Linked DNA regions of Bombyx mori. The protein of the gene in region 6 interacts with the protein of the main gene of each other region in a pairwise test. Links are inferred from orthologs where the notes say so. Each region holds a gene or a part of one and is shown on either strand. Other genes may lie near its edges. The genes, in order: protein phosphatase 1 regulatory subunit 16A, protein kintoun, nuclear inhibitor of protein phosphatase 1, serine/threonine-protein phosphatase 1 regulatory subunit 10, PDZ and LIM domain protein 7 and serine/threonine-protein phosphatase PP1-beta catalytic subunit.

What was found.
Region 1: the proteins of serine/threonine-protein phosphatase PP1-beta catalytic subunit (region 6) and protein phosphatase 1 regulatory subunit 16A interact in a two-hybrid assay, tested with the Drosophila melanogaster proteins (2 studies listed by BioGRID). The link is inferred for Bombyx mori from reciprocal best matches to the Drosophila melanogaster genes flw and MYPT-75D.
Region 2: the proteins of serine/threonine-protein phosphatase PP1-beta catalytic subunit (region 6) and protein kintoun interact in binary tests that used the Drosophila melanogaster proteins (3 or more experiments, as listed by UniProt). The link is inferred for Bombyx mori from reciprocal best matches to the Drosophila melanogaster genes flw and Nop17l.
Region 3: the proteins of serine/threonine-protein phosphatase PP1-beta catalytic subunit (region 6) and nuclear inhibitor of protein phosphatase 1 interact in a two-hybrid assay, tested with the Drosophila melanogaster proteins (2 studies listed by BioGRID). The link is inferred for Bombyx mori from reciprocal best matches to the Drosophila melanogaster genes flw and NiPp1.
Region 4: the proteins of serine/threonine-protein phosphatase PP1-beta catalytic subunit (region 6) and serine/threonine-protein phosphatase 1 regulatory subunit 10 interact in a two-hybrid assay, tested with the Drosophila melanogaster proteins (2 studies listed by BioGRID). The link is inferred for Bombyx mori from reciprocal best matches to the Drosophila melanogaster genes flw and PNUTS.
Region 5: the proteins of serine/threonine-protein phosphatase PP1-beta catalytic subunit (region 6) and PDZ and LIM domain protein 7 interact in a two-hybrid assay, tested with the Drosophila melanogaster proteins (2 studies listed by BioGRID). The link is inferred for Bombyx mori from reciprocal best matches to the Drosophila melanogaster genes flw and Zasp66.

The regions. Positions count from the first base shown.
Region 1 is NC_085117.1:10,540,727-10,544,921, forward strand, and holds the start of protein phosphatase 1 regulatory subunit 16A, read right to left. Parts: upstream 2,801-4,195; 5' UTR 2,719-2,800; coding exon 2,624-2,718; coding exon of another isoform or gene 2,593-2,623; intron 2,138-2,592; coding exon 1,986-2,137; intron 1-1,985.
Region 2 is NC_085116.1:10,196,615-10,200,255, reverse strand, and holds the end of protein kintoun, read left to right. Parts: intron 1-289; coding exon 290-410; intron 411-1,771; coding exon 1,772-2,110; 3' UTR 2,111-3,141; downstream 3,142-3,641. UniProt on the Drosophila melanogaster protein: Required for cytoplasmic pre-assembly of axonemal dyneins, thereby playing a central role in motility in cilia and flagella.
Region 3 is NC_085126.1:4,092,689-4,095,665, forward strand, and holds part of nuclear inhibitor of protein phosphatase 1, read left to right. Parts: intron 1-829; coding exon 830-918; intron 919-1,242; coding exon 1,243-1,340; 3' UTR 1,341-2,977.
Region 4 is NC_085110.1:7,714,672-7,718,960, forward strand, and holds the start of serine/threonine-protein phosphatase 1 regulatory subunit 10, read right to left. Parts: upstream 2,801-4,289; 5' UTR 2,280-2,800; coding exon 2,277-2,279; intron 1-2,276.
Region 5 is NC_085128.1:10,936,626-10,940,636, forward strand, and holds the start of PDZ and LIM domain protein 7, read right to left. Parts: upstream 2,801-4,011; 5' UTR 2,185-2,800; coding exon 2,071-2,184; intron 1-2,070.
Region 6 is NC_085124.1:8,354,105-8,358,278, reverse strand, and holds the start of serine/threonine-protein phosphatase PP1-beta catalytic subunit, read right to left. Parts: upstream 2,801-4,174; 5' UTR 2,534-2,800; coding exon 2,485-2,533; exon of another isoform or gene 2,373-2,484; intron 2,125-2,372; exon of another isoform or gene 2,008-2,124; intron 1,240-2,007; coding exon 1,108-1,239; intron 1-1,107. UniProt on the Drosophila melanogaster protein: Required for cell adhesion in non-muscle tissues and in maintenance of muscle attachment. Vital for larval development.

The DNA.
Region 1 (4,195 bases), on a different chromosome or scaffold from region 6:
CAAATAAACTAAAATCAAACAACATATCAGGTTAAGATAAGCCTTTGAGCAGATTAAGAACACGTTTAGCTTCCGAATTTTATAGTGGACTGATAAGAAAATTCTCCTACCAAGAATCGTTAGATACAAGTTTTAGTTTTGACAGACATAATATTATGTTGAATTTCCAATATGTACACCGATGATTAATACACTTATTTTGACGTGATAACGTCTTATAAATCGATGAACACCGGCTGCACGCACAAAAATGTGTCACGTTCCGCCTGAGCCTGCAAGCGAGAGCGCGAAACAAGCGATAGAGAGGCACGATCGGTCCGAGCGTTGGCATGGTGACATTTATCACTCTTCTCGCGTGACGTCAGACTAGCTCTGACGTCACTCGAACTGCTAGCCAGTTCGAATAGTTCTGCTACTCATCATACGAGACTACTTGTCGAACCGTTCGTTCCGATATCGAGTCGAGGGAACGCGTTCCCGGCCCCGTCACGTCACAGCCGGAGTCCCGCAAGGCTCCGCCCTCTCCCCGTTACTATTTAGTTTGTATATCAACGATATACCCCGGTCTCCGGAGACCCATCTGGCGCTCTTCGCCGATGACACCGCCATCTACTACTCGTGTAGGAAGAAGGCGTTGCTTCATCGACGACTTCAGACCGCAGCTACCACCATGGGACAGTGGTTCCGGAAGTGGCGCATCGACATCAACCCCACGAAAAGCACAGCGGTGCTCTTCAAAAGGGGTCGCCCTCCGAACACCACGCTGAGCATCCCTCTCCCGACTAGGCGCGTCAACACCCCCGCCCCCGCCGTTCGCCCAATCACGATGTTCGACCAGCCCATACCGTGGGCCCCGAAGGTCAAATACTTAGGCGTCACCCTCGACAGTAGGATGACATTCCGCCCCCACATCAAGACGGTACGCGACCGTGCCGCCTTCATTCTAGGACGTCTCTACCCGATGATATGTAGGCGAAGTAAAATGTCCCTTAGAAATAAGGTGACACTCTACAAAACTTGCATACGCCCCGTCATGACCTATGCAAGTGTAGTGTTCGCTCACGCGGCCCGCATACACTTAAAATCATTCCAAGTCATTCAATCCCGTTTTTGCAGGATAGCCGTCGGAGCCCCGTGGTTCGTCAGGAATGTCGACCTCCATGACGACCTGGACTTAGAGTCCATCAGTAAGTATCTGCAGTCGGCGTCCATGCGCCACTTCGATAAAGCGGCACGACACGAGAATCCTCTCATCGTGGCCGCCGGTAACTACATTCCCGATCCTGCGGACAGAATGGAAAGCAGTCGACGTCGCCCAAAACACGTCATTTCGGATCCTCCCGATCCACTAACGGTGCTTTTAGGTACCTCAAGCACCGGTCACCGTTCTCGTCGAACCCGTCGCTTGCGACGAAGGGCTCGACGAGTAAATTAACTCTCAGACACAGCCCACTGAGTTTCTCGCCGGATCTTCTCAGTGGGTCGCGTTTCCGATCCGGTGGTAGATTCTGCGAAGCACGACTCTTGCTAGGGTTCGTGTTAGCAACATCGTCAGGTTTGAGCCCCGTGAGCTCACCTACTAAAGTTAGGGTTACGCTGACATAGCCTCTCAAGGCTATCAGCTTAGGTAGGAAAAAAAAAAAAAGTTCTGCTACTGACGTTATCATGTAAGACTGTCACCCGTAAACCGAATTTACAGACAACTAATTATTTTTTTCAGATGGTATGTTTTGCATACCCCACACTGGGGCGGTACTCAAGGCGCTATTACCTTCCCGTTTTGTATTGATAACTGGGAATTGGTAAAGAAATTCCTACAACCCGGCCTCTTTACCGCGGTTCGCATACAACACTGGTCTGGCGAGACGATTTTTATTGAAGTAAAAACGAAAGCAACTTCACAGGCGAAACAGCAGCGAAACGATACATCCGATTCCTTGTAACTTTTATGCATCATTCAAACAAAAAAAAACATTCACGAGTACCTTCATCTATATCATTTCTTGCTGCCGCTTCTAGTAGCATGACACTGTCGCTAAAATAAATATTCCTTTTGGTGCTTTTCTCCTTCCTCGGTCTGGTCCTCGCCCATTCTTTCTCCCTTTGCTGCCATAGCTTTAGTTGCTGCATGCGCCGTCTACAAGAAATTAATAAATAATTATAATCTACTAAATTTAGAAGACTTATTCTGCTGAAGTAGTTATTGAAAGTATTCACATTCATGTCTAATAGATTAACACACGGTATACTAATTGACTTCATAGGGAAAAGGCCATTCGGATTGTCGATAATCCCGTACAAAGGGATCGTTTGGAACCTCTGAAGGAACTTTGATTCCTTCTGTGTTTCGTGTCGTGTTCCTGCTGAATGTCACTGAATAGTTGTTCGAAATTATCGCTTTATTTCCTTTTTACTATCGCTCATTCCGCTACCTGAGTAGGGTTCACTCGCACCATCTGGAATCACTGTGTTCACCACAATGCGTTTCTAGAGATCTTTCTCCAACATGTCCGATTTTAGAACGAACTGTCCTCCAAAGAACTTCCATAACGCTATGTCATGTCCTTCTTTAAACATGATTTGAGTACAGACCTTAGCAAAAGGCGGCATCTTGGCTGTGTACCTGACATTGCTGATATCCATGAGCGACGATGAAAACGTTAATGTTGTAACAAAATAATACAGGCACATTATCCCAAAAGGTGAAACAAATTTCATTCCATTTCAGAACATTTAATACTGACGAATTGGGAAGGGCGTTCTTTACTTTAGTTCCGAAATAATGATGATAATTAAAAAAAAAAACAAAAACAAAGTAGTAGTGTTCTATTATTCACTTCACTTAAGCAGCAAATTTAAGAGATCAATTTAAAATAGTAACAACACAAATTCCATATTGATATATGCAAACAAACGAAAAAGAATAGTTCTCAACTATTGAATAATTAAATTCACAGAATCACACTTTTATTTACATTCAACTGGTGAAGTCGCACTATCACTAAATATATATCACACAATTTTTCTGTATAGACTTGCTCGTTACGTATCAAACTCAGAATACGGTAGAAATCACTCAAGTGGTAACAATGTCTGTAAAGATAACGTTTGTATTCATTTGGATAAAATAACGTATAGCACGCATAACGAACAAATATTTAAATAAATAAATAATAATAAATAACTTATGGAATAAACATTAATTAAGATAAACGACAAAATGAAATTTAAACATTTAAAATTACTTTCAATAAACAAACTGAATCTGATAAGAATAATTAAAACACGTATATACACTAAAAATTTTAATACCTATAAATATTATGTTGCAATATTATTTTATACAGCCAAACTAGGCACATGATTCACAAGATTTACAAATAAATCAGCTCGTATTTTATAACGTTAAACTTTTTGATCTGATCAAAACGGTTTAAAAAAAAAGGTTCCGAATACCTAAACAGAAAACTTCTTTGATGTAGACTGCTTGCTGCATAGAAAACTCCACGACTATACACAAACTGAACCGTGATTAATGACAAGGCGGCATGCGGGTGGTTCATGCCCACTCGTTATTTTTGAGAAATATCACGATCGTAGGTGTAATTCGGAACATGCAAACCAAATTAGCGCTTGCGTCTAAAAATATATTTTTTACAATCACTTCGGTTACATAAAATTCGATATCGGCTTCCGAATTAATTTGCGACGAACTGTGTTATTGGCTGTGGCCGTAATATTTATTCCAGTCGTGAGCTTCTCTGAAATTAACGTTTTTTTTTAACGTTAAATTATGTATCGAGGGGTGAAAGGCTATATCGTTTAAGCGATATTTTTGCAACTTTACAAATTACATCATATGGGGAGCCAGCCATATAGTTTATTTATTTATTCTATATTTAAATTTTGAAAAAAAATATGAGAAAAAACTTCTTCAGCTATTTGAATAGAGTAAACTTAATTCTTAATTCTAAATTTCAATTAAAAACATCGAACTGTTGATGCTAATACCAAGTAAAACGCATCTTTAATTACAATGATAAATGTCGCGTATTAGCAAAATGTTGCTTAAACCAAATAACCTTCACCCCTCGATATATGTATATCTGAAAGAAATCAAACCAAAGCTAGAAACGGCTGGCGCCTATTTTAATAAACGTTAAAATAGACAAAGTGTCGTCACCAATTTGTCTTT
Region 2 (3,641 bases), on a different chromosome or scaffold from region 6:
AACTGCCAATGTTTTGCTCAAACGAATACCCAATGCAACCCAAATCCAATTATTGCGAATAATTTGCATACAGTTTGATTTATTTACTCATTGAAACTTACTTAGCTTACTCATGGAAATGCCTTGAATAAATCAAACCATTGAGTAATGATTTCAATACGTGTTTATCAATATTTATTTCACTATCTATATATCAATCTTTCTTATCTGCGTTTGTTATTTTCAAGAAATGATAATAGTGGATTTCATAAGTTTATGTTGTCTAATGTATATTACATTATTTTTTCAGGTACAATTCTTCTATTGAAGGTCAGAAAAAGAAAAATCAACGCAAGAAGAGTAAAAAGAGAAATCTGGAGAGAAGGAAAAGTGAAAGTGAAGCAGAAGAAGAATGTGGAAATACTCTTCAGGTACGTTAGCTTCTTACTTACTACTACTGGTGGTTTCAAGGGTGGGGCAACCGTTATAACAATACTGAGATCTTAGAACTTATATCACAAGGTGGGTGGTGCATTTACGTTGTAGATGTCCATGGGCTCCAGTAACGGTGCAAGTAAGTGGGCTGTGAGCTCGTGCACCCATCTAAGCAATAAAAAAAATTGCTATAAGCTTGTTGATGAAGCGAATAAAAAATAAACACGTTTCATACGGTCTCGCATACGTCACTTTTGCTTAGTTATCACCTTAAGGAATACCCCAGCGACTCTGCAAGTAGTTTGCTATCTATTTGGATAAGCGGAGAATTACAGTCGTAGACGACTGCTGCTCCTATAGCATGACCGTTAGTTCTGGCGTTCCACAAGGATCAGTGCTCTCCCCCACGGTTTTCATCCTGTAAATCAATGCCATTCTATCTATTGATGGCTTGCGTCGTTATGCAGATGACAAACACCGGGATGTGCGATATGTCAGGCATCAGAGTGTCTCGAAGCATAGTGCAGGAGAGACGATCAAATCATGGGTCTGAAGTGAAGAAAACTCTGAACACTTCAATTCAACCCATTGAACCCAGGGTTGCGCGTTCACTCCGAAAAAGGACTCTTGTCATGGTGCCGCAAGTCCAAAGAGTATCCTTGCAACCTTTCACGAGTATTGGGATACTAGGGGTCGATGTTTCGATGTATGTCCAATTTTGGAGTCATTTCAAGGGCAAGTTGACGTCCAAAATACTGGGAATTCTCTATATAGCGAAGCGGTATTTCACGCATGGACAAAGACTTGCTTTACAAAACACAAGTTTGTCATCGCGTGGAGTACTGGTCCCACCTCTAGGCCGGGGCTCCCAAATACCAGCTACTTCCCTTTGACTCTGTAAAGAAGAGGGCCGTTCGGATTATCGATGATCCCATTCTCGTGGAGTCTTTTGGCCCAAATTCTATTTATAAACGTATATTTGTCAATAAAATATCATTATCAAGTTTATAATAACATACATAAAACAATTGTTCAGTTTAGTAATACATATTTTGTTTTTTAAGAATGAATCAAAACGTGACATTATTTTCTCGTATTTCTACAAACTTTCTTCGTTCTCGTGTGAACGGACACTAATAACGCAGACCGTTCGAGTTACAAAAACAACTTATTTAGCAGAAGCGTTGTTTCATGTTTGTAATTTACATAGGAGTTTCTACAAAATAACGCAACAAAATCGTCAGCGTTTTTTTTCTCCGTTTTATAGGTCAAAAAACGAAAACAAGTATGTTCTTAAGTATGTTAAAGATACTGAGATATATCATTTTAAACGTCTTTATGAATATTATGTTCGCAGAGTTCCAAACAAAGGTCGAAGTCAGCATTGAAACAGCGACGCGACAGCGGTCTAGCGGACACGTCCGACGCCGAAGAATGCAAAACATCGGATTCGTACAACAATCACGAATTCAACATAAACGCTAAACCGACAAAATACGTAAACAAGGCTGGAATCGTTGACGCGAAATCAGAATTTCGGGATTCCGGAAAGCATTCGAAGAAACTCGAAGGAGATTCTATTAATTGCGAAAATATTAAACACAAAACGGACCTCTACGATCCCGAAAGGTTAAACAAAGGAAAATATTTAGAAGTTTCCTTTAAAAACGATCTCATATTTGATTTGGACATGTAAGCTCAGCCATGTTCGCTACTAAGCAACTTAAAGTTAATGTAAGGCGCGTAACGCCTTCTACTACGATTTTACAATATATTGAGGACACCCCAGTTTTAATTTAAAATTTTATTCATAGATTTAGTATTATAACATTTCAGAGTTATGTTCCTTTCATTGATTTGAGTACTATTTATAGACTGTAGAATGTTGTTTCTAGGTTTATGGCAACGGACTATTCGATCCGCATAATACATTCGGTCAATTAATAATTTTATAAGTTAAGTAATTTTAGAGTATATAGTTTTCAGAAGTTGTCTTACTTTAAATAATTTTTGCTCACACCAGACAATATTTCAAATGTGAACGAGTGGTACAAACTAGTGATTATTATATATACACATGGCTTGATGTCCAGTGTAAGTTTTTAAAAGCACTGCACAGTGATCAATTAGATTAATACACGTTTATACACATTTTATTATATATACAAATAATAAATAATTAAATAATCAAACATCCGATCCAGTCTTGCATATGAAAATTGTTTATTTGTAGATTTTTTTGAATCTTGATTAACGATTAATGGTTAATTTATATTTGGTCTTGATCTAAACAATATGGTAGTGAGTGAGTGGTTTAATAAAGGAGAGTCAAGTGTGTATCGGCTACCGTCTGGATGAGTTACAGCTGTAGCTAGGGTTGACACTAACTAGCCAATAGTAGTGTAGTATGTATATGCTACTTACAATACAGAAAATAGAATGCACTACTAACCTTTATTTATTTATTTTATTAACCTTTATTTTTGTTTAAAAATTCACTAACCATACAAAAACTATTAAATTTATATGCGAGTTAATGACCCTAGCTCATAACTTTATGCGAGTAAAACGAACAGCTTGTCTTAAAATTAATCCCAAACTGTTGTCATAAACAATGCATTTAGTTAATTTAGAAACGAATGATTTGTAATAATTAATTATAGTTATTTAACGTATGAATGTGATTCAGTGTTTTTGGGAGTATACAAAATAAAAAATGTGAAATTATGTTATTTTGTTTCCTTGGTCACATATAGATACGATGATATAGGTATCTTAGGAAATGTCGAATTGTAACGGTAATCATTGGTAGTTTTACTTAATACAAATGTTCATGATTGATTTCCACGGTGAAGGCATAACATCCTGTAATAAAAAAAAAACAAATGTGTGCAATTCACACGTGGTAGAAGTGAAACCTTCCAAAATTAAAATACAATTATCCTAAACGTCTCAAGTATATGTAAAATTTTGTCATTAGTAAATAATTGTAAGGTAGCGCCCTCTGTGAATTGATATTTTAATTTCACGTATAATCCTAAATTAAAATTCACTACAAGAGCTTTCATACACACGTTAGTATTAAAAAATTTCACAGATGGCGCTGTATTAAATAGTATGTATATTTCTGTCTCATTCTTTGCTGGCTTCATCCTACACATTTTTGTATTTGTGTCTCTTACCTATCGTTTTTTCCGTTGCATCCGGTTTGAAATCACAACGATTCT
Region 3 (2,977 bases), on a different chromosome or scaffold from region 6:
GTGTTCGCTATCGATAAACCATTGTCATCTCGGTGGGTCGCAATTCCGTTCCGGTGATAGATTCAGCGAAGCACAACTCTTGTTAGGGCTGGTGTTAGCAAATTTTCTCAGGTTTGAAGCCATGAGCTCACCTACCCGTAAGGTCATAACTGAAATAGTCTCCTAGGCTACCGGCGAATAGGAAAAAAAGCCGGCATCCAAACCCAAAGCTACATAAATTTTATTTTTATTGACTTCATAAAAGGAGATGGTTCTGGGGATTGGTTCATTGGGATCTATTATTTATTACATTAATCGAAGACAGCAGCACTCCAAAAAGTATACGGTATCGATATTACTATAACTTTAGGAGGAAGCAGCAACCTCAAAACAATTTATGGAGTACATACAGAAAAAATATTCGGTACCTATATAATCTCAAATATAGAAAGTAGTCATGTAATTAGTGGAATGCATAGAATAAATACAGGACAGTATACGGTACCGATATATCCATACATTTGGATGGATGTCGAAAAACTGATTAAATGTATGGAACAAATACAGAAATATACAATGTGACACATTATTTCCATCATGAACGGATGCAAGGAACCAGCGAGAATTATTTCAAATTGAATATCTTATTTTCGAATTTAAATAAAATTTCTTGTCGGTAATAGAATTCACATGACACCAATGTAACTATATTCGCACGAATAATAGTTTAAAACCCATTGGAAACGGTGGATGCAACAGGGTTCGACTATGAAAAGACGCAAGAAGTCTTCATCGATTTAAATATATATATATATATATATTTTATGGAAATTTTGTCTTTCCCTTTCAGGCTCGGTCTATCGTTGCCGAACCCGGCGCCCGAAGTGGAGCTCGAAGGTCCGGAACCGTTCATGCTGCACGCGCCCTTACCGACCACAGGTCAGTCCAACGCACTATGTACTTTAATGTTGAAGCGTTAAGGTTTGATTTGATGTAAACTCGTACGGTGATTATGTATCGTCGAACATATACATACGTATTGCCTGATAGTGAGTACCGTAATTGTCTTGTCATGGACATGTCCGGGGCATAGACAAATTCCATTTGGCGCATTTACGTTGTAGATGTCTATGGGCTCCACTTAACACAAGGTAGACTTTGAGCTCGTACATCCATCTAAGCAATAAAACAAAGGGGATACAAAGTTTTTGCTTTACACATTAATTATAGACTCTCTCACTCTATTGAATCTTTATTTTCCAGCACCCGAAGAACCAGGTTCGTCGGCCGGCCCGCGAAAGAAGAAGTACGCCAAGGAAGCGTGGCCAGGCCGGAAGCCAAGTCTCATACCGGGCGTGTGAAGCGAAACTGAAGTCGGAACGTTTTAAAAACTTAAAAGTAAATAAACAACCATGTCCTTTTGTGTTCAGCGTTTGAATGGAGCTTTAGGTGTCGGAGAGTCAATGTAAAACGAAGTTTCTCGTTTCTGTGTGATGGCTTGTCAATGAGCTCACGTGATATACGATTTGTATTGGTGACGCCGGAGTTGTTCTCGGAAGTCAATTTTGGATTGTGCTGGCGAATCTGAATATTCAATTCATTGTATATTGTAACGCGCTGGAGATAAATAAAAAATCTACCGAAGTATAAATTAAAACTGTATATTCACACTTAGAAAACTCACAGAACACTTTAAAATTCTTAATTCACTTCTTCCGCTTCGCTTCAGGTAATCCGTTCGCTGTTTCGTTTCGAATAGTTCCGATTACTAATTAACTCGTGCCATCTCTGCAACGCTTTTATAGTCGATATGACATCCCTAGAATTATCGAGGAAATTCCTCACAAGTCGAGTTATCTTCGACGTGTGTTTCCGCTATCTGACAATAGGTGGCGTTGTACTTCTCGATCTTTCTCGACGTTATGACTTCCTTTGATATTCGTTTCGGCTATTTGGCGATAGATGGCGTTACTCTTACCGGCGTAATAATATCATGCATGTAAGTAATGTGGTAGTAATATATTAGCCGATGTCGGTCGTCTCCTAGGGAATGTATCGGCGCGGTGAAACAACCGTCATAAAATACACACATAGACTATTTCGACCTCATGTCTGAAGGTCACTGTGAGCGGGCTCCGGTAACCACTTAACGTCAGGATGGCGGCTGAAATTATCGCAGGATAGTGTTGTCGTGTTTTGATTCACACGATAACAGAGCTGAGGCCAATCTGTCGATAATTACCCAGTAAACCCTCTACAAACCAGGGTCGTAAGCTCGTCTCTGTGACTTAGTGCGATCTTGCTGCTTTTTGTCCAAATAAACTTGATCGATCCGACACGCCGATTTGTTGAACTCAAAGCTTCTTGAGCACTGTTGCGACTTCGGATGAAACGGAAACGACACTAGAAAGAGACAAACATATACGTCTATAGGATTCAGCGTGCGAAATTGAGAGAGAATACTGCAGGCACGTGTTATTTCAATCGTATCTCTGACCGATAATTGGGCTTCTTCGGACATTTGTCGTTAGAAGAATCAAACTAGGAGTCGCCAGAGAACCATCGTCTTTTGTTCTATGGAAAACGTTATTTGATACATATCGATACATCAGAACCCTTGGAAAACAAATCTGATATAAGTAATGTTCATTTATCGATGCTATTTGTTTCAATAAAACCGTACATCATCAGTTCCATATACCAATTTGTTTAATATCACATATACAATATAATTTCTATATGCACTTATGATTTTTTAATTGAGGTATTTCACAATTAAAGACGATGCATTCTGAAATTGATAATGAATTTTGACCTGTAACTGGTTCTTAGGCTTCTCCAATTGTACGCCATTGATCACGATCCTCGGTTGCTATCAACCAGCTCTGACCAGCCATCCAGCATAGGACGTCACATCCTATTTTATTTATTTCATTTACTTTAGATTTTGCATCCATATTACATTCATTAACATTTCATATATATGAAAAAAAATTTG
Region 4 (4,289 bases), on a different chromosome or scaffold from region 6:
CAGTCAACGTGTTATGGGTGCGGCAGCCGCTGTAACTATACTGAGACCTTAGAACTCATATCTAAAGGTGGGTGGCAGCATTTACGGTATAGATGTCTATGGACTCCAGTAACTACTTAACTCCAGATGGGCTGTGAGCTCATCCACCCATCTAAGCAATTAAAAAAAAATTGTAACTATCTCAAATGGGAAGCATATATATATGGTTAAATTGGACATAAAATTCAGAACCAGAAGTTTTAAATATTATACTACTGGTACATAAGTAAAGCCTCTTTTGGAATATGCTTAAATAATAAGGGGCCCTTTGAAAATAAAAAAAACTTGGATAGTTCAACAGCGTGAAACTAAAATGGTTCATGCCATGCAACAGCAGCTCAGATGTCTTGTCATGAATACACTTGGACAGCATAGACTGAAATAGTTTGCAAGATTCTCTCTGAAACTATTTTGATCACTCTGAATAAGAATCTGATATCAGTAATAAAACAATAGCTGAAAGGTATTTCAATTAAATGAAAATAATCCTTTAAAAGTTTTTATTCAAATTAATGATTTGTATTTTTAATCCATAAACAAAAGTTAGTTAGTAGAAGGTCAACGGTCAGGTCATTGTATATTTGGACTCAAACAAGGTTTAGAGGTAATGAGGATTCCTTCCACTGAAGTTTTGTTGTGATGCAATTTTTATAGATAAAACATTATCGATCCCTCTGTTTTAAGGACTGAATCTGAGGAGTTTCGAAATAAAAAGTTTCTGTAGGATTGAAAATGCTTCCAGAAATAGAGTTTTAACCATTTTGAAATCTCATAAGTTAAAAAGCATATCAGTAAAAGCTGTTACTAGTGTTACTAGTGCCATTAGACCTGGGAACATTAATTCCACAAAACATATGAGATCAATGTCCTAGAATATAACATAGCTAGGTCTTTAACACCTGTAAAATTTTGACAACCGGTATAGTGTGGATACTTGGGAGGCAATTACGAAATTATTAACCTTATATTGTTCATTTCTACACTAAGCTACTTTTAATGGCAAAAGCTATAATCATTTAGTGTAGCTGTTATGTTATGTTTATACAAATTTATGTTCTACTACAATTCCCACTCATCGATGAAGACAAAACAATAAAATGTCTGACCTTGTTTATTACATTAGACAGTGGTGTATTTAAACATTAAATTATAAAACACACTGAGTAATGCTTCATGACATTTGTTTTGGCTTGTTAAAGCTTAAAAATAGTATTACAAATATTTAAATTGAAGACATCTAATACTGTTTTTTTTTCGTTCTTATACTGCAACAGATAAATCAAACGAGCTCAACCACTATCTGGTAAATTTCTTCATCCTCACTCAAGACAATGAGGTCTCGATTGACATATTGAATTGATAACTTTATTTAACTTCTTATTTCAGAAACCTCGAGGGGTCACCCTAGATTCACTGGACGTTTAGGCAAGCTCTCTGGTATCCAGCTTGGCGTCTTGCTAGCACTAACCCTAGCAAGGACAGTGCTTCGCTGAATCTACCATTGTATCGGAATCGCGACCCACTAAGAAGATCCGGCAACTCAGTGGGCTGTTATTGTTATTTAATTTTCATGACGAAGCCTTGGTCGCATTCGAAAGGTTCGATGAAAATGGTGACTGGTGCTTGGAATGCCTAGAAACACCGATTGTGGATAGGGGGGATTCGAAGTGACGTGTTTTGGGCCACGACCACTATTTACCGTTTGTTGAATAACGCGTTGCCCATAAAGATGAACAATGACCGTTTGGAAAAGAAAACAAGCAAATTAGCAATGTCTACCTGAAAAAGGGCGTGTATTTTAAATTTTTTTATGTTTGTACAGATGGAAAATAGACGATTGCAACACTCAGGAATTTTCAAATTAATGATAATTGTCTTGCATCATATTAAATCAATAAAATATCCGCGGCCCGATTCAATGATCAAAGTCCACTCTTTGTTCTTACAAAAGTAGGCGACAGCCAATCACGTTGAAGCATTTACCGACGGATGTCACGCCATTACTTACCTTCTTTCTAGAAACCACGTCATGCCAACCAAATTACACCACGTTTCATATCTATTTTTAAACCATTATAAATAAAATCGACTTATTGCTTAGAACTCATGAATTCTTTATATTCAAAGTCTTTAAATGATTTGACATGAAATCGATACCTACGTATGTGAATTCAGTTTGCTACTTATGTAAAGTGGGTTGAGAAATTCATAACAATTTTAATAATTATCGCACTTACCATTTCTTCTAATTTTACAGTAGATAACTTCAAATTAATTTAACTCCGAGAACAGCAATCAAAATTCATGTGCCACGCCCTAAATTTTTCCATTCTAATATGGCGTCTTGTGTATGAAACAGTACTCTCACAAACGAAACACTGATTTCTTATTTATACAGTTCAGAATTAGAGACTCAGTCCACGAAATTACTATTTCAACAAAATCATTACATATATTACATTCTATCCACATAAATTTACAATCCTTTAAATTAACATTCTTAATTATTGCGTAATTTGAGTGATTGTTTCAAGTGTCTGAATGTGGTATTTATTGATAATTAAATACCTAAATAAGCTATGGATAATATTGAAAATTAAAATATACACAATCTACTTGGCAGAATCCTAAACGGCAGCCAATTTTATTTAGCTCTTGTAGAAATACGAGCGCAGATACGCACGCAGCGCAAAGAATAGCTGAAGAATGACAAAGGAGGAAAAGGAAACTGCGCACTTTGTAGCATAGTCACTAGCCGGTGTTGCTATATTTTTTTGAAAATTTGCAGAAATGAGTAATTTCGAACGTTCCGTAGTGGTATGTTTCTTCTCTAACTCTGTAATATTTATTTGTAACAATCATATGGAAGAGTCTATAATCTTAGCTTTGCCTAAATTCACGCTCGTCGGTAGCTTCCAATTAGTAGTAGTATATAGTTACTATACTAGTTCAGCCGTAAGTTTGTCAACCTTTGAGGGAAATAAAAGAAGTTTCAAGTACCTATCATCCATGCGTATGAAGCAGTCCCATTTTCGGATGTGGATTTTACGTTTATGACTTTCGGTTTATCGAAAGGTTATTTCAATTTTAGTATGATCGTGAACATTTAAAAGTAAAAAGCAGATGAACCAAGTTAAAGTCACTCTGGCTACCCACCCAAGATAACGGGAACTAAGTAGACTGTTAGGTCAACAGAAACAACATCGCCGAAACAGTAAATAAAGTTGAAGCTGGGTTGGAGCACTGAGAGTTATGCAGTCTTTTATTTTTACCAAAAATCCAGAAATACCACTGCAACGGCAACAATTGTTTCTTCTTTTCTTTTTCTTAATAATTTTACCCTTTTTATATATAAATAATGTAGAAATAGATATAGACAATTATTGATTTTTAAAAGCAAGACAATAATTTTCAAATATTACACAAAAGCCTTTAAAATCAAATGAGAGGCTGACAAAATCACTCTAATACTTTTTGTCGCGAGAGAAGAGGTATCAAGTTATGTTACTTTGTGGTGATATTAAAGTATTTTTTTAGGATTAAATGTGTAATAATGGCGACCTATCAACCGTTTAGCCTCTGTGAAAGTGCATAATTTTGGGAAAATTAAACATAAATGCTGGACGTGACTGCTCGTATTGAACCTCAGTAAATTCCCCACTATCGTTTGTTCTATTTTATTTTCCATAAAATAGAACAGATTCAGCCTTTGAAATAAAAAAATGGTTACTTATATGGTCTACGATCCCTTTGCCTTTTGCAATAGACTAATTAAAAAAAAAACAGAAAAGAAAAGATAAATGAGAAAATATTCTTCTTCTTCTTCTTCTTAATTTTGGCTCGGCACCATTCGTGCATTTGGCCAGTGTCAAGTATTTTACATTTTGTCAACAAAGCGAGGGAAACATATAACGCGAATTAAAATAATTAAATCATACCGGGAATTATACAAAAACAAATCAGAATAATTTCATATCTAAAAAATATATATAACAAAAGAAAACAAATAATATTAAACTACAATTTAATCTTGTTATTTATAATAAATTTATTTAATGCACTATATACACAGGGTCTATTATCTCTAAGAAGTAAGTAAATGTTAGAAGGAAGAGGAATAGAGAGAGATATTAGAGATTCATATAGGAAAGAGTGGTCATATAAAGGACAGGAAAAGAAAACATGATTCATATCGCAGTAACTCTCACCACATTCACAGGCAGCACTAGATACTATGCCAAGTTTATGCA
Region 5 (4,011 bases), on a different chromosome or scaffold from region 6:
TTTATACGAGAAAATCAGTTGTACTCTTCCGGCCTTATTTGTTAGATAAGCTTTATATTTTACACTAGCGACCCGCCCTCGCTTCGCTTCGGAAACATTAAAACACACATGAAACCAAAAAATAAAAAATAAAATAAAAATTAAAAAAAGTAGCCTATGTTCATCAGGGACAATGTCGGCTTCTAATGGAAAAAGAATTTTTCAAATCGGTCCAGTAGTTTCGGAGCCTATTCGAAACAAACAAACAAACAAATCTTTCCTCTTTATTATAATATTAGTATAGATTCTTTTTTTTTTGTTACCCTTGTAGGCAGACGAGCACACGGCCCACCTGATGCTGAGTGGTTACCGTCGCCCATGGACTTCAGCAATGCCAGGGGCAGAGTAAAGCCGCTGCCTACCGTTGAGTACTCTCCACAAGCCTCGTTTGAGGAAGGACAAGTCATAGCGCTCGGGAAACACCGTGGACGGGAGCTCATTCCAAAGCCGGATGGTATGTGGCAAAAAGATCTGTGGAAACGCAATGTGGATGAACGCACAGGCTCCAGGTAGTATGGATGAACTGTACTCCGGTGCGATAGTAAAAACGAGATGATGGAATTATCTCAAACAATACCTCAGAGCACTCACCATGGAACATACGGTACAAAATACAGAGAGAAGCGAAGTCCCTCCGCAGACCCAGAGGTTCCAAACGATCCGTGAGAACGGGATTATCGACAATCCGAACGACCCTCTTCTGTATGGAGTCAAATCTTTAAAAGGCCTTTAAAAGACGATTGTCGAAGTCTTATGAATATAAAATTTAAATAATTTTCATTAGGAATAGTACTCGTTCAGTCTAGGTTTAGTATCACTTACGCTACATTGCAAGTAAATCATCGGGTGCATGTTACTGCAATTAAATCATTTATACTTCAGCGATGAAATTTTAAAGTTAGATCTATCATCGTGGTAACTGATCGTAGTTCTATGTTTTATACCTATGGCATACTTAGTCCTATGGCATACATACATCCTTACTTATGGCATACTTAGTCCTATACATTTTATTTGTACCTACACTCCAAATTACATTTAGTTATTTCATCTGTTTAATAATGTAAGTATTCCTCTGGTTTCTGTCTCAGCGTTTATCCATTTTGAACGGAGTATTTTTTAAATTTGGTCATAATGGGTACAGAGTTCAAAATGAGAATAAAATTCTATAGTTATTTCTTTCTAATTAGTAAAAGTAAAGTTCGTTTATTATCAGTTCATCTGCTCGTTTGCAGCTTTTGTTTGTCTGGCCAGTATCTGCTTGTACACACTGATTTGGTTCATTTTAATTATTTACTATTTGCCATATAAAATATCAAATAAAAATATAGTAAATTGTTACATATTGAGTGATTTAGGGATACAGTATTCATTAACCAAGGAATTCAATATATTTTATCAGTTACATACGATATGATGCTGTAATTTTACAAGATCATTTAGTAAAAAAATCACTAATTGAATCCGTTACGGCTTCATTTGAATAAGGATGGCCGGAAGTTGAATAATTAATAGTTTTAAAAGAAAACAGCTCCAGAACTTCGTAGGATTACGACAATGAGGCCAAGCGACGACTTCACCGGCAGCTGTCGAACTAGAGCGACCGATACATATCCCAGAATACATCGGTTATAAAGAGACAACGTCAACGTTCTAGATTATTTGATGTTCTACATAATCATTTGAGAATCGTGCTGTGGCTCGGATTTTTAACAGCAGCGAAAATTAAAAAAAAACGAAAATAACCGAAACTTTATGAGGAGATAAAAATTCTTAAATTCTTTAAGAACAGATGTCATGTCATGTCACGACGGAATTATAATTATATTCGTTTGTAGTGAAATCGGCACCGTCGGTCCCTAAACATCAAATCGAAATACATATTCTATAGATAGATATCCACAAATTCACAGGAACGAAGCGTTGGGTTAATAGTAAATATTGACTCCAGCGCCGGTTTGTTTACACCGGCGTTCATTTGTTGACGTAGCGAGCGCCTTAGCTAACCGAGCTGATAAACGGGAGGTTTACCCTTGTGACAATGAGTGGAGTGGCGAGGTCTGCGCCGCCCACAAGCCGTAGTCCCCAGTTGATCTCGCGAGAATCCCTCCGCAGGGTCACTACGAACGTATGCAATCGGCCCATTGCGTTCGGATGCACTTGCGCGAACGCACTGTTGCGCGGATAGTACGACCGCGGCGGCAAGACACGACGTTCTGCGAGCTAAATTAGCCCACGCCGCAAACACGCATCCTCCCCGCCCGCCTTAGCTTCATGTAACCCTGCCTTCGCAATCGACCCAGTTCGATTTACGGAAACGATTCGATATTGATGACCGCCCATCAGGCTGCCTCCGAGATATGCCTCGCTGTTTATTTACTCCAATTTATAAACCACATTACTTTGACCTACATAAAAATTACACTTCAAAATATAAATGGGATAAGGTCGAAGAATTGATGGCGTAAATAAACATGTTAAAATTATTGTGATTACATTAACTACGCTTGATAAATGGGTTAGCAGAAACTTTATAGTTTATAATATATGTATATTAAAAATTCAAAAATGTTGTTAAGCTTATTGGGTTTCATGGTCTTTGATCAACTATACGAATTATTATTTAGTGGGAATAACAAGCTGTGTGAAGGCAACCGATCGTGTGAAAGTTTAAGAAAACAATATTGCTCATTTATATACTCGCGTGCACTACGCTACCATTGGCGTAGTCCAGCGTTTAATTGTTAAATTTAGACTGAAATCATGTTGATGTTTGCCAACTTCCCCATTTGCATTTTGTTCGTTATCGATAATTTGAAATGGAGCTCTCTTTTGGTGAGAATTTTCCAATTGGCACCCGCAAAATTATAATTTGTGTAATTACTGGTGGTAGGACCTCTTGTGAGTCCACGCGGGGGGGGACCACCACCCTGCCTATTTTCTGCCGTGAAGCAGTAATGCGTTTCGGTTTGAAGGGTGGAGAACTTATATCTCAAGGTGGGTGGCGCATTTACGTTGTGAATGTCTATGGGCTCCAGTAACCACTTAACACCAGGTGGGCTGTGAGCTCGTCCACCCATCTAAGCAATAAATAAATAAAAAGACGAGTTTCATTATTTATGAGGCTTAATGGCTGAAAGTAGTTTAAAAGCGTGTAGCTTGTTCTCATTATTTTATGTATCCAAATGAACACAGGTCTAAAATGATACATTTGAAATCACCGAAATCGTGAAACGGTAAAGATACATGGGAAATAAATATTTTGGGAGAGATTGCGACTGATTAAGACTCTTATGAAATATTTTGATATAAGTCGCAGTTTTCATGTCTACTTGTACTTAGATGTCCGAAAGGAAAAGACTTTAAGTACTGGGTGAACGTACTACGTTTTTATTTCTTATGCAATTCTTATTGATTTAGACTGAAGTTACCTTTTAGTGGTAGCTTGATTTAAATTATATAATTTCAATAAAATTCTTATTAACTATACATAACTTTCCTAGAAGTTCCATGTTTCATCGAAGTCCGAGTTCGAATAAACAAAAGACCTAACAAAAGAAGCACACCAATTAATTTCAATTTTCTGTCAACACCCCATCAGTATTCAACCACGAAAAAAATTTCATTACGCAAGATTAATAAAACAAAAACATGTTTAGTAAAACTTCGGTTCGTATTTTCATTTATCACTATCACTACATAGTATAAAACAAAGTCGCTTTCTCTGTCCCTATATCCCTATATAAATAATCTGAATCTTTAAAACTACACAACGGATTTTGATGCGTTTTTTTACTAGATAGAGTGATTGAAGAGGAAGGTTTATATGTATAATAACATCCATTAAATAGTGGAGAAATCAATAATAAATTACAGTTTCCGAAGCGAAGTGAGGGCGGGTCGCTAGTTCTTTATATGTTTTAGTCTCTTTATTTAATTTTCACATTTTTTGGTAAATGCTTACCTTTCGTT
Region 6 (4,174 bases):
TATAATTATTGTGTTCTCATCAGTCCTAGATACACGTACAAATTTTCAAATTGATCAGAAAACTCCAGAGGGTAAATATTATGTTGAAAGATTTAGTTACATGAAGAGAGAGTGAGTCAGTGAGTGAGTGAGTGAGAGAGAGAGAGAGAGATATATAGAAATATACCTAGATAGATACAGATAAAGCTAATAAGAACAATACTTTATAGATAACTTTGAGTATAAAATCTTAGCAAAAAGTAGGAAGAAGTGAGACACAATTTATTTTATGTTTTTTTTTGTGTGGCACTTATGGTGCATCATGTATGCATGCTGAGGAAAAAAGTTACTCTTTCATAATTTCATAATGAGAAAAAGGGAGGAGAAAAAAAAAACTTTTATTTATATTAAAGACATTTAAAAAAAGGTTTGTATGTTTGCTCTCTGTGGGTCTAGAGCTGGCTAGATTGAAAAAAGTGTGACAATAAAGAATGACACCAAACACTGACATCTTTTCTGATTCTGATCTGATCTTCATCTGATTTTTGAGGCACTTCCCGAAGACCTAGGAAACTGAAACTTCTATTTTCAATATTTTTTTCTATTCATTCAGGTTGGCATTAATTTTGAGAATATGCATTTATTTTACATATTTTTAATAAATAATACTGATTTTTTTTTGTTCACCAATATTCCCAAAAATTTTCTGCAATACCACGTTTATTCACATTTCATTTACATGCATGATTCCTTTGCAGGAGGTACAGAGAGGATTGTATTAAATGCTAGGGCTAGGTAAGTATGCCCTAATACCACCAACTACAGAATTGTCTTGCAGATAATTTTGGATAATGGTTATTCTATTACAGCTCAGGGAATGATTCCAATACTTATTTTAAATTTTATGCTTTAATACAGGGTGTATTAAATCATAAAAGTTAAATAAACATAGTATGAATGAAATAACAAACTTTGAAAATAGAATTTTACTTTTGAAAGTAGCTTAGGTTCATGAAATTAAATAAGCTAAATAATTATTTTTAAATCTCATTGTTACTGGTGTAAGATATTTATATTTCATTAAGAATGTTTTTAATTTAGTGAAAAAAAGAACTTTTAAGACTTTACCACAAATTTTGAGTGGTGCCTCCAACTCCAGTAATATGGGCTGCTGCAGGAATATTTCTCTGGACTTTGTGCAGAGCCCACGTACCTCTGCCTCCGACATTTGCACAGTCTTGCCAGGCCTGCATCCTCGAACTAAGGCAAAAGTTTGAAGTCAGAATAATAAGATTTATTAAAAATATAGATTTGTTTAAAACTGTAGTACAACTAAAAGCAATTAAGCACTCTTAGCCTTTTTTTGTTTATAATTTTATTCTTATAAGTAGCTAAGGAAGCATAGTTAGTATAGTTTTCAATTTAATTTTATAAATTTAATTGAATGGGTTTCAGTTTGCTAACTTCTAACTCAAAATAAACAGAATGCTTTTCATAACACAAAAAACATTTATCAAATGCAGGGGTTTTATTAAATGTTATATTTATGACATGTAAGGCATGCAGACATTTTCATGCAAAATACAATTTAACTACCATTCCTAGAATGAAATTTGATAAGAATCTAACAAAACAAAATGTATTCAAGTATTGATAAATTTATAGGCACACAAATCAACAAGCACTCCTAAACACTAGCACTCAGTATCAAAATTGATCACCAATATAATCTCAAAAAGTTATTAATTTAAAAAATTTGCAAGATTAAGATCAAGTTTTTATCTAAATTAACATTATACAGCTGTAAACACAGATTGCAAGACCTTCCTATAAAATGGTTTAGCGATCATAGTTTGTATATACTTGTGGCTATTTTTAGATTCAATTGAAGAATGAGATGTTGATGGGTAACACATGATATAATTATTGGGAATAAACTTTCGGTTAAGACTGATCACTAGGGTAGTAAGAAATAAACGTTCTAGCTGAATACTCTGGCAAGAATTTTGAATGTGGCCATACATTCTCCTGAAAAGATGTCTTTCAATTTGCCTTTCTTCCTTGCAGTTTCTTGTTGCAGTCTGTATACTGTTGTAACCCATCAAAAAGCAGCACAATAAAGTGAAATGTATATGTTTGAATCAAGTAAGCAATGCGTAACACTAATAAAAGAACAATAAGTTTGTGAGTGTTTAAATCTATGGAAGTCTGACATCATTGTTCAGGGCTAAAATCTAACAACTATTGTTTATACGTAAATCTTCCCTTCTAATTGAAAAATAACATATCCAAGGCATTTAAACATTAACAGAAACGCTAATATGCAGCCTGATAAGAAATTAAGGATAATCGATTTATTTATGAGGTTGACGTTTCTATGCCTTCTTATTCAGAAATAATTACGCAACAAGGACCAGCTGAATGAAAACCCAATATTATCAGACTTGCAACTAGACGTCTGGTAGTTAAGAGAGGCTCACAAAATCGTAACAAATTGCATTTTACCTTCCAAAAGTCTGTGAATTAGACTGTCAACATTTAGTTCGTCAGCCATATTTACTACACGAATAAATTTATGTCAAAAAGTCAAATGTTTTTTTCTTCCTGTTTGCTCTTATTGTTTGTGGTTAGAATTACTCTTCATAATACGCAGAACTTGTAAAGAAGTAAATAGGAGAACAATTTTATGTTTAAAATGGTTTTTATCGTCGCTTCTCATTTATTGTGTTTCATGGATAGTTACTTAACTTAAAAAATGTCCATTGGTAGACACAAAACGTTAAAATAAAATAGCATTTGAGTAAGTTTCAGGTACATTCCAAGTACTGCAAAATGATTCGTATTTGGTTTTTAATCGGTTTGGTTGGAAATATACATATCTGCAAGAACGTTTTGGGTTCCTAGGTGAGACGTATAATTTTTTCCTGTGTTTGTTTGCTTATCGTTTCCATGCTGTTGATTTATTAAGTATATATAAGTAAATTAATATATAAAAGTATATTGGGACCTATATAAGTGATTATGGTGATTTCATATTGTGTAAACGGTCTAAGCATATATACTATTTATTGTATTGTGTTTGAAGTCGTCGTGGCCTAAGGGATAAGACGTCCGGTGCATTCGTGTTGAAGCGATGCAACGGTGTTCGAATTCCAGACGGGTACCAGTTTTTCTAATGAAATACGTACTTAACAAATGTTCACGATTGACTTCCGCGGTGAAGGAATAACATCGCTGTAATAAAAATCAAACCCGCAAAATTATAATTTGCGTAATTACTGGTGGTAGGACCACTTGTGAGTCTGCACGGATAGGTACCACCGCACTGCCTATTTCTGCCGTAAAGCAGTAATGCGTTGCGGTTTGAAGGGTGGGGCAATGAGCTCGTTCACCTATCTAAGCAATAAAAAAAATGTATTTTTTTCCTTATTAATCTATTCTTAATAGTACACCGCAACATATACAATACTGTATCTTAATATTTTGAGAATTTCTGTAAATAAATCGGTTGTCTAGAACAGATCGCTTTTAGTAATAAGGTCGCATAATGTACAAATATATCTACTTGTTGATTCTTTTTTAATGTTAATTGTGTTTTGGCGTGCATTAAAGTATATTCTCTCGAGAGATCACTTTCCATGAAATTTAACATTATCGGTGCCCATTCGTAAATCGTGCTCTATTCGCTTCAAATTGAAATAAAGTAAAATCAGCTGAATTATTCAATTAGTACCTTTTTTACTCATCGTTTCTAAAGTTGTTCTAAGCATTAAAATGAAGTATTCATCCGATAATATTTTTAAACTACTACTCTAAAAACCATCGAACTTGGAGTCGTTGCGTTTCCAGAGATGTTTTTTCCACGTACCATTCGGCTCGATATTTAATTTGCCTCTACAGTGTTTCCCGAGTATTTCAAACTGGGCTTGGAATGAGTTTGGAATGGTACACAGCGCTTGGACTAGCATGTTGAGACAAACTTGAATATTGCTCTGCTTTGGAAGGCTTAATAGATTTATTAAAATATTACAATTGACAGCCATACCGGTATAAGTTGCAAAAACAGTTATTAGTTCTGTAGTAGAAAGCTCATTCTATATAATCTGATACAAAGGTGTTATAATTTCATTAATTTTCTCTAAAATTAATCGAAATCAAATTCACAACTACTTTTAGATTAATAAGTGGACAAGTT